Linked DNA regions of Nothobranchius furzeri. The protein of the gene in region 1 interacts with the protein of each later gene in a biochemical or structural test. Links are inferred from orthologs where the notes say so. Each region holds a gene or a part of one and is shown in the gene's direction. Other genes may lie near its edges. The genes, in order: raf1a, rb1 and phosphatidylethanolamine-binding protein 4.

Region 1 (3,752 bases):
GATTCAAACGGCGTCGCTTTAGCGGGGAACCCATCGGACTTGTACTTTCAGTGTTTTTTCTGCATCAGGGAGAAAATCCACCGTCGTGTCACTTTGAAGGACCGACGGATTTCTCGCTTTTGTCACGTCCGGAAGACAAAACCTTGTTTTCCGTTGCTTTGGATGAATTTTTTCCAAGAGCCACCTGTGACCTTTATGTTTTACAGTAACTGAACTGACTTTCTGCGTTTACAGGAGCGTTTGGGACTAGTCGAGGACTCGCTTTTGGTCTTTTTTCCCACTTTTCTTTGAATGCGTTGCAGATATGATGATGTCACCGACGCCACTTTTTCCTAAAGTTATGGCGGAGCACAACTTTTTGAACTTCTCTTGGTAAGCATGTACGATCTACCGGTCCTAGCACTTCACTACTATTGATACACGCTTGAAAGCCGAACTTTTAGTGTTAAAACCGGTTCTTTTTCAGACACATTAACACAAAATACAGGTTAAACCATTAAAAACCGAGCAGAAGTTCAGTTCGCTGTTTCAGGGAGGGCCTGCTGGCTGCTTCGCTGTTTTTGGTGAAACTGTCGAGCTTTATTTAAAAACACACTCGCTGCTACCCTCAACGTATCATTTTAAAGCACGAGAAAACCCACACGAGTATCCCAAATAGCTGTTTGTCCCTTGTTTGGTTTGAATGCTACACACTAGCAGCATTCATGCTAACCTGCTACATGTCAAAATCACATATGTGGACGTTTGATGAAGCAGCCATGTCGTTGTTGTAAACTGAACTCATGCTTGGGATGAATCAAGCGTTTGCAACAAATCTCCAGCGTTTAGCCTGTCTGCAGCAGATGTGCATTAACACAAGTACAGCAGACATGATAACAACACGAGTGTCTTCAGGGTCAGCAGCCTCCTGTATAAACCTGCAGGGTGGTGGTAAACACGTGAATGTCAAGAATAAACAAAAACCTTTTGGTTGTTTACATTAAGCTCAGTAGTTTGTGATGGAAACAATCCAGGTGAGTGGGTTTATTTGATGGCCTGGCCTTTTGTTTTCAGGAAACACATTTTGCATGAAATAGTCAGTTTAGCTCAGCTCATTGTTTTCTTCTTCTGGTTTATTAGCATATATAGGCCACACGCGACTCTTTTTGCGTGTTATAAACTTCCAGCCGAGACAAAAAGACCCGCAGAAACACACAACTCTGCAGTTTGGATTAGCTCAGTGTTTCTGGCTTTTCTCAGTAATTAATATGTTTTTATGCCACAATCCCCACATGCGATCTCTATTTAAAGGTTGCTGGAGGTGAGATTAAGTTTTGAGATTAAACCTTACAGCGCTCTAACCCAAATCTCATGTTTTGCCACTTTTCCCCCCCTGGTGTTTTAATCAACCGTGTCCAGGCCAGCAGATGCTGTTTCTCATTGTCAGCATAAACATTGTGTCTGTATGCCCCAAAACATGCATTTCTGCAGCTTTTGTGTTCTAGTTAAGAGAGCCAGTAAATGAGGAATGCACCCACAGAGATGGATGAGATCCAATGTGTTCCTTTGTGATCTGCATAGATTGTTGTGAGTATTTAGTTTTACTGATGGAGCACCTTCAAGGAGCGTGGAGAACCCTGAGTAACGGCTTTGGAATGAAGGACTCTGCGTTTGAGGGTCCCTGCCTTTCCCCGACTATGGTCCAGGGCTTTCCCCACCAGCGACGCTCCTCAGATGACAGCAAGGTGCCAGACTCGAAGGCTAGTAGCACAATCCGTGTCTACCTCCCAAACCAGCAACGCACGGTGGTGAGTTAGTTCTGCATTAGGAAACGCGTTTAGAGTTTCCACATTTAACACGGCGACCTCTGAATTCAGATCATAATTATTTGTAATTTCCCGTGTGTCAGGTAAACGTGCGACCAGGTTTGACTTTGTACACGTGTCTGATTAAAGCCCTGAAGGTGCGAGGGCTGCAGCCTCAGTGCTGCGCCGTCTTCAAGCTGCACCCAGGTCAGAGAAGGTGAGTTCAGGGTTTTTGGACAATTGTAACCAGAAGTAAGAAGATCACATGCTTATGTTTCTCCCCCTTTATTTCTACGGTTTGTTTTCCAACCAGTAGAAAATCTCGGATGGACTGGAACACTGACTCCACCTCTCTAATTGGGGAAGAGCTGCTGGTCGAGGTTTTAGATCACGTTCCGCTGACGACCCATAATTTTGTAAGCACCCAAGTCCTCTGCAGCGCCCTCACCTCCGCGTCCAGCGGCTAAATCAACACGTTCAAAATGCTTTCTGTCATTTCCAGGCTCGGAAGACCTATCTTAAGCTAGCCTTCTGCGATATTTGCCAGAAGTTTCTTTTAAATGGTTTCCGCTGTCAAACATGTGGCTACAAATTCCACGAACACTGTAGCACCAAAGTGCCCACGATGTGTGTGGACTGGAGCAACATCAGACAGCTCCTGTAAGTATCTGAGAGGGGTCTCTTATTATAAAAACAACTTTTGATTAAATGGGGGAAAATGGTGACATGGTGAAGCACAACATTTTTAACAAACAAATTACAAAAAAATACACCAATTAAAATAAGCAAGTCAGCACACGCACAGTTCGTTTATCTCCCTCGGGCTTTATAATTTGATTTATATTAGAAATGAGCTCACCCAAACTTTCTGCAAAGATGAACAGTAGAAGGAAGCTCTGCTGATATCCCAGTTTGCATAGGGGTGTGCTCATTTGCATCCTGGCACTGCCAAAAAGGCCGTTTTGTTTCATTTTGCATGCAGGCTGTAGATGAACAGTAATTCTGTAAAGATTAGTGTCATTTGCACACTGCTCTGTTGTAAACACACCCTCCTCAGGACTTTAGTCTCTTGTTTCTGTCGGCAGGTTGTGTCCGGTCCCCGGGGAGAGCGGCACCCCGTCACTGCCGCCGCTCACCTCTCGACGGATGAGAGAGTCTCTGTCACGGTTTCCAAGGTGACGTTGCTTCTCTCTACTTATTCATCACAAACCCTCTGCAGAAGGATAAAACAAGGTTTTATTATGCAGGTGAAACTGGAACAATACTTCAGAATATGGTCCATTTATTTATGTAATCCAGATTAGACTGAGAGGCCATCTAAAGGCTCAGGAAAACCTTTGCAGGTGTTTCAAGTTGAATTACTGACATAAATGAACTTTTGCACTGTTATAAGTTTAATTACCTCCAGATTAACATCAAGCTGTTGTAGACTAGATTACAGATTAGATGTTATTCGGCTCACATGTGGTCAAGTTTGGACTTTTTTAGGATCATATTTTAATTGTGTTGTATGTGTTTAAAAGGCTGTCTTTGCTTCAGGGAAGCTTATCAGTGGAAGGAATGATGTAACGCCGGGTGTGAAAAACAGCCTGTTGTTTTGATGGCTGATAAAGTGGTTTAAAAAAAACACCCAGGGTTGCTAAATTGGCTGTCGCTGCAAGTTGTTCCTTGCAGAAAAATGCGAAATGCTCGACAGGAATATTAATTCCTGTTGTCTAAAGCGGGACTGCTCATGAAGAACACCAAGGCGAGGTTCTGCTCAAAAACACAAACAGCCGGTTCCTCTGCGCCGCTTCTGGACGATTTCTCTGCAGATCCGAGAGCGGCTTTGCGCTGCTGTAGGATTAGCATATCTGGCTGGAAGGTTTTGTGCTCTTTAACCGATCTGGACACAAAGCCGCTCAGCCACACACGGCTAAAGAGGAAGACCAGTAACAAATACGAGCCCACTAGCTACTTCCCTTAAAC
Region 2 (3,717 bases), on another chromosome or scaffold:
GAAATAAAAATTGTACCTATTTGTTTAGTTTTTATTTCATGTTACACAACTATAGATCTACCAAAACAAACTGGTACAGGAGTCTTTTACTTTCAAACTGCTTGAAGTGCTGTATATAAATTGAAATATTTCTGGGTATAGCTGGACCAAATGTTTACGCATCCTAACCACAACTCGGGATGGAAGTCTAAAACATATCTACTTGTAGAAAAGTTCATTCTGATAACTGTATTTCAGTTTTGACTAGTAAATGCTACACCGTAGATGATCGACTCGCTGTTTTTCCAAAACAAAGTAATTTCTGACAGAACTGTGTTTTTGGTGTATTTTATTAGAAGCAATGTAGTAACCATTGACTGTTTTGTGCGTTTTTTACATAAAAAAATATATATTTTAACTTTAATAGGTAGTTGAACGTAATATTACAGTAGTTTAAAGCTGTGGGCGCACTCTACTGTCCCTCAGTGGCGGGGAAAATGCAAAAGCGGATGTGACGTAGATATATTTTCCCGCGTTTTGGTCTCGTGAGTTAGGGTAAGTTCGTTTTGGGTTTTTTGTCACGTGGTCCTTCACGCCGGTCCGCGAGAACTATTAAAACAAACATAACGTTACGACTTGTTTATTGTAGTGATTTTTTAGATTTTTTTACGCCGTCGAGTTGAAACAAAACATGACTGTTGTTGGAACTCAGTAGGTGGTGTTTGTTAAGAAAATCATGAGCGTAAACTAGAGAGGGTGGGGTCACCGGCTCTCCGCCGCGCTCTCCTTTTGAACAAAAGAAGCACACACTTTCAACAGCATCAGGAAGCAGTTCGGATTTTGTTGTATTGTTGCTACGGAGCTTATTTGCGTGTCCAACCCGAATAATATTAGCCGTTGCCTTAAATAAAATAAAAAGTGCAAGTTTCTTGGGTTGATAAAAGTTGCTTGTCAGGTACCCAGAGACGAGAAGTATGCCACCTAAGAAACGTCACTCCGGGATGGTACACAACAAGCAGCCGAAGTCCGGAGCTGACAACGCCTCTCCAGACAAGGACAGTCCGGAATTATCTGAGAAAGAGTAAGAAAAGTAAAGATGTTTGAGTTACAACACAACACCAAGAGTGTCATCAGCTGTTGGGTTTAGTTTTACATTCATGTTTAGCTAGTTCTAGTAGTATTGATAGCTTTTCTGTGGCCATCTTGTTGGCCAAAGTTAACGCAGGCCTTTGTTGGTGCTAATATCTGAGTTTAAAGGGAATTTTTAGCCGTGAACATTATTAAATGGAGTAAACTGAACATAGACTCCTTATATTTGGACCTGTTAGGTTTACAGACAGAGAGAGAGAGAGCTGCTGCTGTTGGCTGTCTTTCATGTTGGGATCTGTGTGTTTTCATCTTCCAGACACAGAGACAAGGATGGAGAGTTTGTGAGTCTGTGTAAGAGCCTTCATGTTACTGGCCTGGTGTGTGACCGTGCCTGGTCCTTGTGGAAAATAGTGCAGGAATCCATGGAGATCGTTAAAGTAAGGATGAGGTTCAACCTAAGTATTCTCCACTGTCCCTTCTCTGGACATGTCCTCTGACTTTATCTCCCAAACATCTAACAAGAGCTGACCCTCTGATGGACTCATTCTTGATCACACCTTTTTTCTACACTCCATTACTTTGGACTGATGTGTTTAAAATCTTCCTCCTTTTCTCCAAACCCTCTGATCTGGGTCCCTCTCATTCATACACGTATTTTGTGAATGTTTATAGTGATACAGATAAATTTTATCCTGTTAGTTACATTGATTGTAACTGTGTATTTTTGTTTTGTTTTTTTAAGGATCGTCAGCTAAAGCTTTGGGGTGCTTGTCTGTTTGTGACTGTAACAGACATGGATGTTGGCTGTTTCACCTTGACTCAGATCCTAAAAGCTATCAGTATGAAGTAAGAACTGAGTGTCAGCTGAGTTTTCCTTGTGGTGCACTCTTCTAAAAGCATAACACATCTTTTTTGTGGTGTTTTGAATTATCGTTAGAATAAAGATGCTTGTCTAAAATTATACCATTATTATTTTTAATCATGATCCCCTCTCCCCTTTTTAGTTGCACTGACGTGGGTGCTCCCATGGCGGCTTTTCTCTGCTTCTATAGCAGCACTGTCTGTCCATGTTTTCCTCATGTTTCTTATCAATCAAGTAGAAGATTCAGTTTGGTTATTTAGTATCTTACATTATTTTTCCTTCTAATGTCTGAATACTGACAAGATAAAAAATGTGTTTTTAATGATTTTAGTAAATGGTTATTTGACTATTAGTAATAAATGCCCTTATTCTTAACGTTCTTTCTCCTTTTGACTCAAGTTTTAAACTCTTCATGGAACTGGTGAGGCAGATGGATTTGAACTTGGATACGATAAGCACCAAAGTGAACTCTGTTCTTACACGACTGGAGAAGAAATATGATGTGCTGTTAGCGCTCTACCAGAGGTTTGAGAAGTGAGTGAACACGGACACTTTTCATTCCGTCGGAGTGGTAACTGGCAAAGATTTAAACACGACATAACATTTTCTTCTTCTTTTTTGTAAGAACCTGTAAGAAGATCTTTACCTCGACCACGTATGGCAAGTAAGTTGAGTTTAAGCTCTATTTGTCACACATTTTATGTGTTTTGTTTCGTTAATGTTGGATTTTTTATATCACAAACTGTTTTCTTGTATAGTTAATATTTTATTGTCTCCTTTTAAAGGGAGAGAGAGACGATGCAGACATGCTGGACAGTGTTTCTTTTGGCCAAAGGTAATTGTCCTTTTTTAACACGCTAACAAGTGAACACATTAGGGCTGAGTACATAAACTGAATACATTGGGTTGGCACTGATATAGAAAATAAACATCCTTGTTAATGAGCCACACAGTTTCATACCATTGGCTGCTGCAGGTCATGTGACTGGGGGTGGGCTGCTCTCTTATTCACACACAGTATATTTACAACACTTCTCTGAGTTTGCGGACAATAATAACATGGAAAAAGTGGAAGTTTTGCTCACATGTTGTGACTGTAAACATCCGAGCTAAACGTAACATCTGGGATCACATTTGTGTCGTATGGAAAAATCAGCAATTTCATAATTCATGGCGCCATTTTGCAAGCCAGTGCATGTCATTGACTGCCCATAAATAAATAAATAAATAAATAAAATAAAAGTAGACCATGTTTGCAGTGTAATAGTTTTGACTTGCTTTGCCTCTTGTTTAAAAAGCATGTTCATTTCTCCATTTCTTTGGGTTTATCTTTCATTTTGGGTTTTGAGAGTAGATGTTTCATATTTACCAAAGAATAAATCAAAGTTTACATTTTATCTTCATACTGTTTACTTTTGTGTAGCACAAATAAATACCACTGTTTTTAAATACAAATATCCAAAATAGGTGTTCTCTTGCTTTAGGTGAAGGATAGGCGTTTGTTAAATTATAGCTTACTGTTTACACTGAACGTTTACTGCATTTTTTTTTCATAAACAGAAAATTTAAGTACTTTTTCCTCTTACAATAGACCTAAAATATAGCTACATGAACAAAAGAATCATTAAAGTTCAGGGGTCTCATTTATCAAACGTTGCGTAGAATCTTTACTAAAACTGTACGTAAGCTCAGCAAACAATATGTACTTACGCCAAGTAGGTTTGTGATCTATCAAACGTGGAGTACGCACAGCTGCACGCAATCTCCGCTTCATAAATCAGAGACTA
Region 3 (3,752 bases), on another chromosome or scaffold:
CTACTTTCATATCATTTGCCTTTACATAGTCCGATAAAGTTCATAGATGTACAATGCATTCCTCAGTGATTCTTCTGTTGATGTTTTGCATCAACATCACCTCATGCCTTAATGTACAGCGTACTGCAGTTTATGGTATTGAATGTGAAGTTGCGTTAATGTGGTCTCTAGCTTGTTTGCTATATCTAAAGGTGCCATGGTGCTCTGTAGGCTTTGTGTGTATCAATAACTGTGCACAATCCATCATTTGGATGTAAAGGAATCAGCTGGTGTTGGTCAACTGAGTGTGTTTTTGTTTGAAAACCGTTTAGAGTTTATACCATTTAAAGTTAGAAACACACAAAAAAAAGTTATCTAAACTTGGCCCGACACGGCTAGGCAAAAACGTTGACAGGTCATCAAATGAATTGATTGCAGGGATTTCTGATCAATTTCACTGTTTTAAAGTTTCCTTAATGAGCTCCAGCTTTTGATCCTAGTCAGAAAAATGCTTGCACAATGCATCTACTAATAAAAGAATAAGTCAAATATGTATTTACTGTATAATGACTTCTGAGGTTCAAACTCAACATAGTAACTGATATAAGCTATTGCATAGTTCACCACCTTTTTTCTTTTACTATGCATAATGAAATGCCAACTTGCGCTGCTTTGTATCACTGGTTCTCCTAAAATTGCACCAAATGCTTTTGCAAGTTCGTTAGGAATTAAAACCATCAGGTGGGAGAAAAATCTGATCATAAATTATAAAAAGGTTTTCACTGGGACCCTTTTCACGTGTCTGGGTGCTATTATCACAGCTGCAGAGAAGCACAAACCAAAGGGAGCTTTAGCAGCACCAGGACTAAAAGGTATATGCTGCACAGTCACTACTGAAGAGTTTATGAGGCCTTGTTAAAAAAATTAAAATTTAAAAAAGACAAGAGAAAAAATAACTTGAATGTTTTCTTAGTGTTTGGAGCCTGGTGGACATTTTTGTGACCTCCGGGTGATTTAGTTGTTTTAAAGAATCTGTTTTTATGGTTTAGGAGCTGTACGTTTAAAATTCTGTAGCATGTGTTATTGAAAATGTGTAAATAATGTTTAAATAAATGAATAAACACGTACATAATGAGTGCTGCGTCTGTCTTATTTACCCCGTTTTAGTTATGACACTTGATACTGTAGGGTGCGCAGTAGAGGTGCGCAGAATCAGCAGCAGCGAGAGCGCTTCACCCAGAGAAGGAAAGACAACAGGAGCATTTCAAACATGGTAACGATACATGAACAACACCGCTACCTTTATACTAGGTTAGAAAAAAATAATAGTGTGTGTGCAGCTTTATTTATGCTCTACTAGCTGTCTTGACTTCATTTAAAGTGTCGCGTCAACGTGTAAATAGTGACACGAACAAACAAGGGAACGCAGTCTTAAGCAGCAGGGGGTTAAAGACACGTTTTTAAATAAACAAGATGTAGTATTATGAAAAGTACCTGCGCCAAATTACCACTTGTTAACGTAATCATATTCAGCGCGTGACCGACTATTTGATGCAGATCAACGCGCGCGCGACACAAGTTTTATTACTGATGACACCTTAACTAAACAGCCCCCACCAGCCAGGACCCGGATGTAGGCTTTATTAGCGTTATTGCTTTGTTTTAAAGGACTCACTTGGGAGTGGTGGTTGTTAAATAACCTCTTAGATTCAATTAGACAAACAGTTAAATATAAACTGGATTCATATAGAGATAAATGAAGAATTGAGGGCTGTGTGGAAATAATCATTTCATATCTTGTCTGCTTCAGGTAACTATTTGTATGGCCTCCGTTTGGAGAAATGTATATTGTTTCTGACGGCACAGACGAGCCACAATTACACAAAGTGAAATCTAAAAGAAAATACTGCAGTTTTTTATGATATGTAATTAAAGGTGTGGTTCACTTGTTTAATAAATACAATTGCAGTGCGGTCTCTAGTTTGGACCGCTGGCTGTAATGCACATATCACACAAACTTGCAATATAAAATATAAAGCAGGACATCACCTGACCCCTCCAGCTCGGCTGTGTGACTGCACTAACCTGTCCTGTGGGACCCTCACCATGTGACCCTCATGTCCATGCTGTCTCTGGAGCAGCAGATATGAAACAAGATCGCCTGTAACTTAAAATGAACCAAAGCTTCCTCCCAGTTTCTCTTTAAGCTGAATTTAACATCAGTTTATCATCATGAAACAAAAGACAAATGTGGAACAAGAACGTCTATCTTCTATTTCTCTCTCCTTTTAACTTATCCGTGTCCCTAAATTAAAGAGACTTAAAGAGACTGATTTCGCTGCAGCCGCCGTCACTGACCCTGCTCCCTCCCCAAGACCAAATCCCCCGACATCACAGCACTCGGTCTGACTGAGCGCTTCGAGGAGAAATGATAATGAAATTGTGAAAATAATAATGCTTGTTTGGAGGAGCGCCCTCCGATCCTCTCTCTCTCTCTCTCTCTCTCTCTCTCTCTCTGTCTCTCCCTCTCTCTCTCTCTCTCAGTCGCTGATCGAGCGAGCGGAGCGAGGGCACGACAACCCGCTAAATTAACATAATTCACGGCCCAAATCCAACAGAATCAATCGGGCTGATTGGGTTCGGGTTTGGTCTCAGGTTAAAACTCCAGCGCTCAGCCCTGGAGTACCACATAAAGGCGGACCAAAGTTTCCTACCTGGTAAATGTGGAGAACACCCACTCTGACAGATGTGGATGCTACGCTGGTGCCGCCGTTAAAACCACATCCTACTATAATTGATTACTCTTCTGTTATGCAGAAACGTTTCTGCCCACATCTTATGCATTGATTATTTTCCCCAGCTCTATCCTACACCTCCCGGTCAGGGTTGGGGGTGCGCGCAGGGTTTGGGGGCAACAAAGAGAGGGCTCGTGGGCTGGTCGTGGCCCACGGGCTGCCATTTGCAGACCACTGTCCTAGAGTTTCCCTGTCAGTGGCAGCTGGTGAATTTTGTTTTTGGCAGGATGCATTTTAACAGATGACATATGTGCTGTTAAGAGCATGTCTGCTGAGAGATTTGCGTGCCCAATTGCGGGAAGTTGTGTAAGAGTCATGAGCCAACTTTTTAATATTGGCAGCTAACATGCCATGACGATAGGCAGAGCAGAATGCTAACAGCTGCTGCCCAGCAAAGGCAAGGACACTGGTCACTTTTTTACCGAACAGCACCGCGGTTCCATCCCTTGAAGTAGAACTACGGTACAAAAATATCACCTTCAGAAAATTAAACAAGAGACTAACAACAACCGACACATCCGTAGTAATAGAACCCAAACAAAACACCCGAAAATACACCATAATAGAACAAAACACCTGAAAACCGGCTACCCACAATGCACCTCACCAATGCAATGTAACAATGCAACTGCAGTGCCTTGCTCCAAAATCTGCGGCCGCCTTGATCTCACGAGGTTATCGTTGCCTACGTATGCATGACATCAGAGCGAGTCGGCATCAAGTCGGATACAAATCTAACCGGCATGCACTGAACGCCGATCACTGTTGATCTAATCTGCGCAGAACTGGCTCGTTTCAAACACGGCCTTTGTTAGCGGCTCCGCCCTCTCGGTCTGCTGGGCTACAGCCTTTGTTGCATTTTTCTAACAGGAAGTGGGAGTTGAGTAAGAATCTGGTAGGGGGTGACTTGCTCTTTTAATACAGATTATACACAGCACTTAGTCTGTTGTATAGATCATTTAGATTAATTTTTGTGTT

What was found.
Region 2: the proteins of raf1a (region 1) and rb1 form a complex in vitro, tested with the Homo sapiens proteins (3 studies listed by BioGRID, with this or other methods). The link is inferred for Nothobranchius furzeri from reciprocal best matches to the Homo sapiens genes RAF1 and RB1.
Region 3: the proteins of raf1a (region 1) and phosphatidylethanolamine-binding protein 4 form a complex in vitro, tested with the Homo sapiens proteins (2 studies listed by BioGRID). The link is inferred for Nothobranchius furzeri from reciprocal best matches to the Homo sapiens genes RAF1 and PEBP4.

The regions. Positions count from the first base shown.
Region 1 is NC_091755.1:58,343,041-58,346,792, forward strand, and holds the start of raf1a (raf-1 proto-oncogene, serine/threonine kinase a), read left to right. Parts: upstream 1-1,304; 5' UTR 1,305-1,535; coding exon 1,536-1,787; intron 1,788-1,888; coding exon 1,889-2,001; intron 2,002-2,097; coding exon 2,098-2,200; intron 2,201-2,286; coding exon 2,287-2,444; intron 2,445-2,869; coding exon 2,870-2,959; intron 2,960-3,752. UniProt on the Homo sapiens protein: Serine/threonine-protein kinase that acts as a regulatory link between the membrane-associated Ras GTPases and the MAPK/ERK cascade, and this critical regulatory link functions as a switch determining cell fate decisions including proliferation, differentiation, apoptosis, survival and oncogenic transformation.
Region 2 is NC_091750.1:48,282,435-48,286,151, reverse strand, and holds the start of rb1 (retinoblastoma-associated protein), read left to right. Parts: upstream 1-804; 5' UTR 805-953; coding exon 954-1,060; intron 1,061-1,384; coding exon 1,385-1,505; intron 1,506-1,810; coding exon 1,811-1,914; intron 1,915-2,329; coding exon 2,330-2,464; intron 2,465-2,555; coding exon 2,556-2,594; intron 2,595-2,715; coding exon 2,716-2,765; intron 2,766-3,717. UniProt on the Homo sapiens protein: Tumor suppressor that is a key regulator of the G1/S transition of the cell cycle. The hypophosphorylated form binds transcription regulators of the E2F family, preventing transcription of E2F-responsive genes.
Region 3 is NC_091757.1:40,557,775-40,561,526, reverse strand, and holds the start of phosphatidylethanolamine-binding protein 4, read left to right. Parts: upstream 1-1,146; 5' UTR 1,147-1,249; coding exon 1,250-1,252; intron 1,253-3,752. UniProt on the Homo sapiens protein: Promotes AKT phosphorylation, suggesting a possible role in the PI3K-AKT signaling pathway.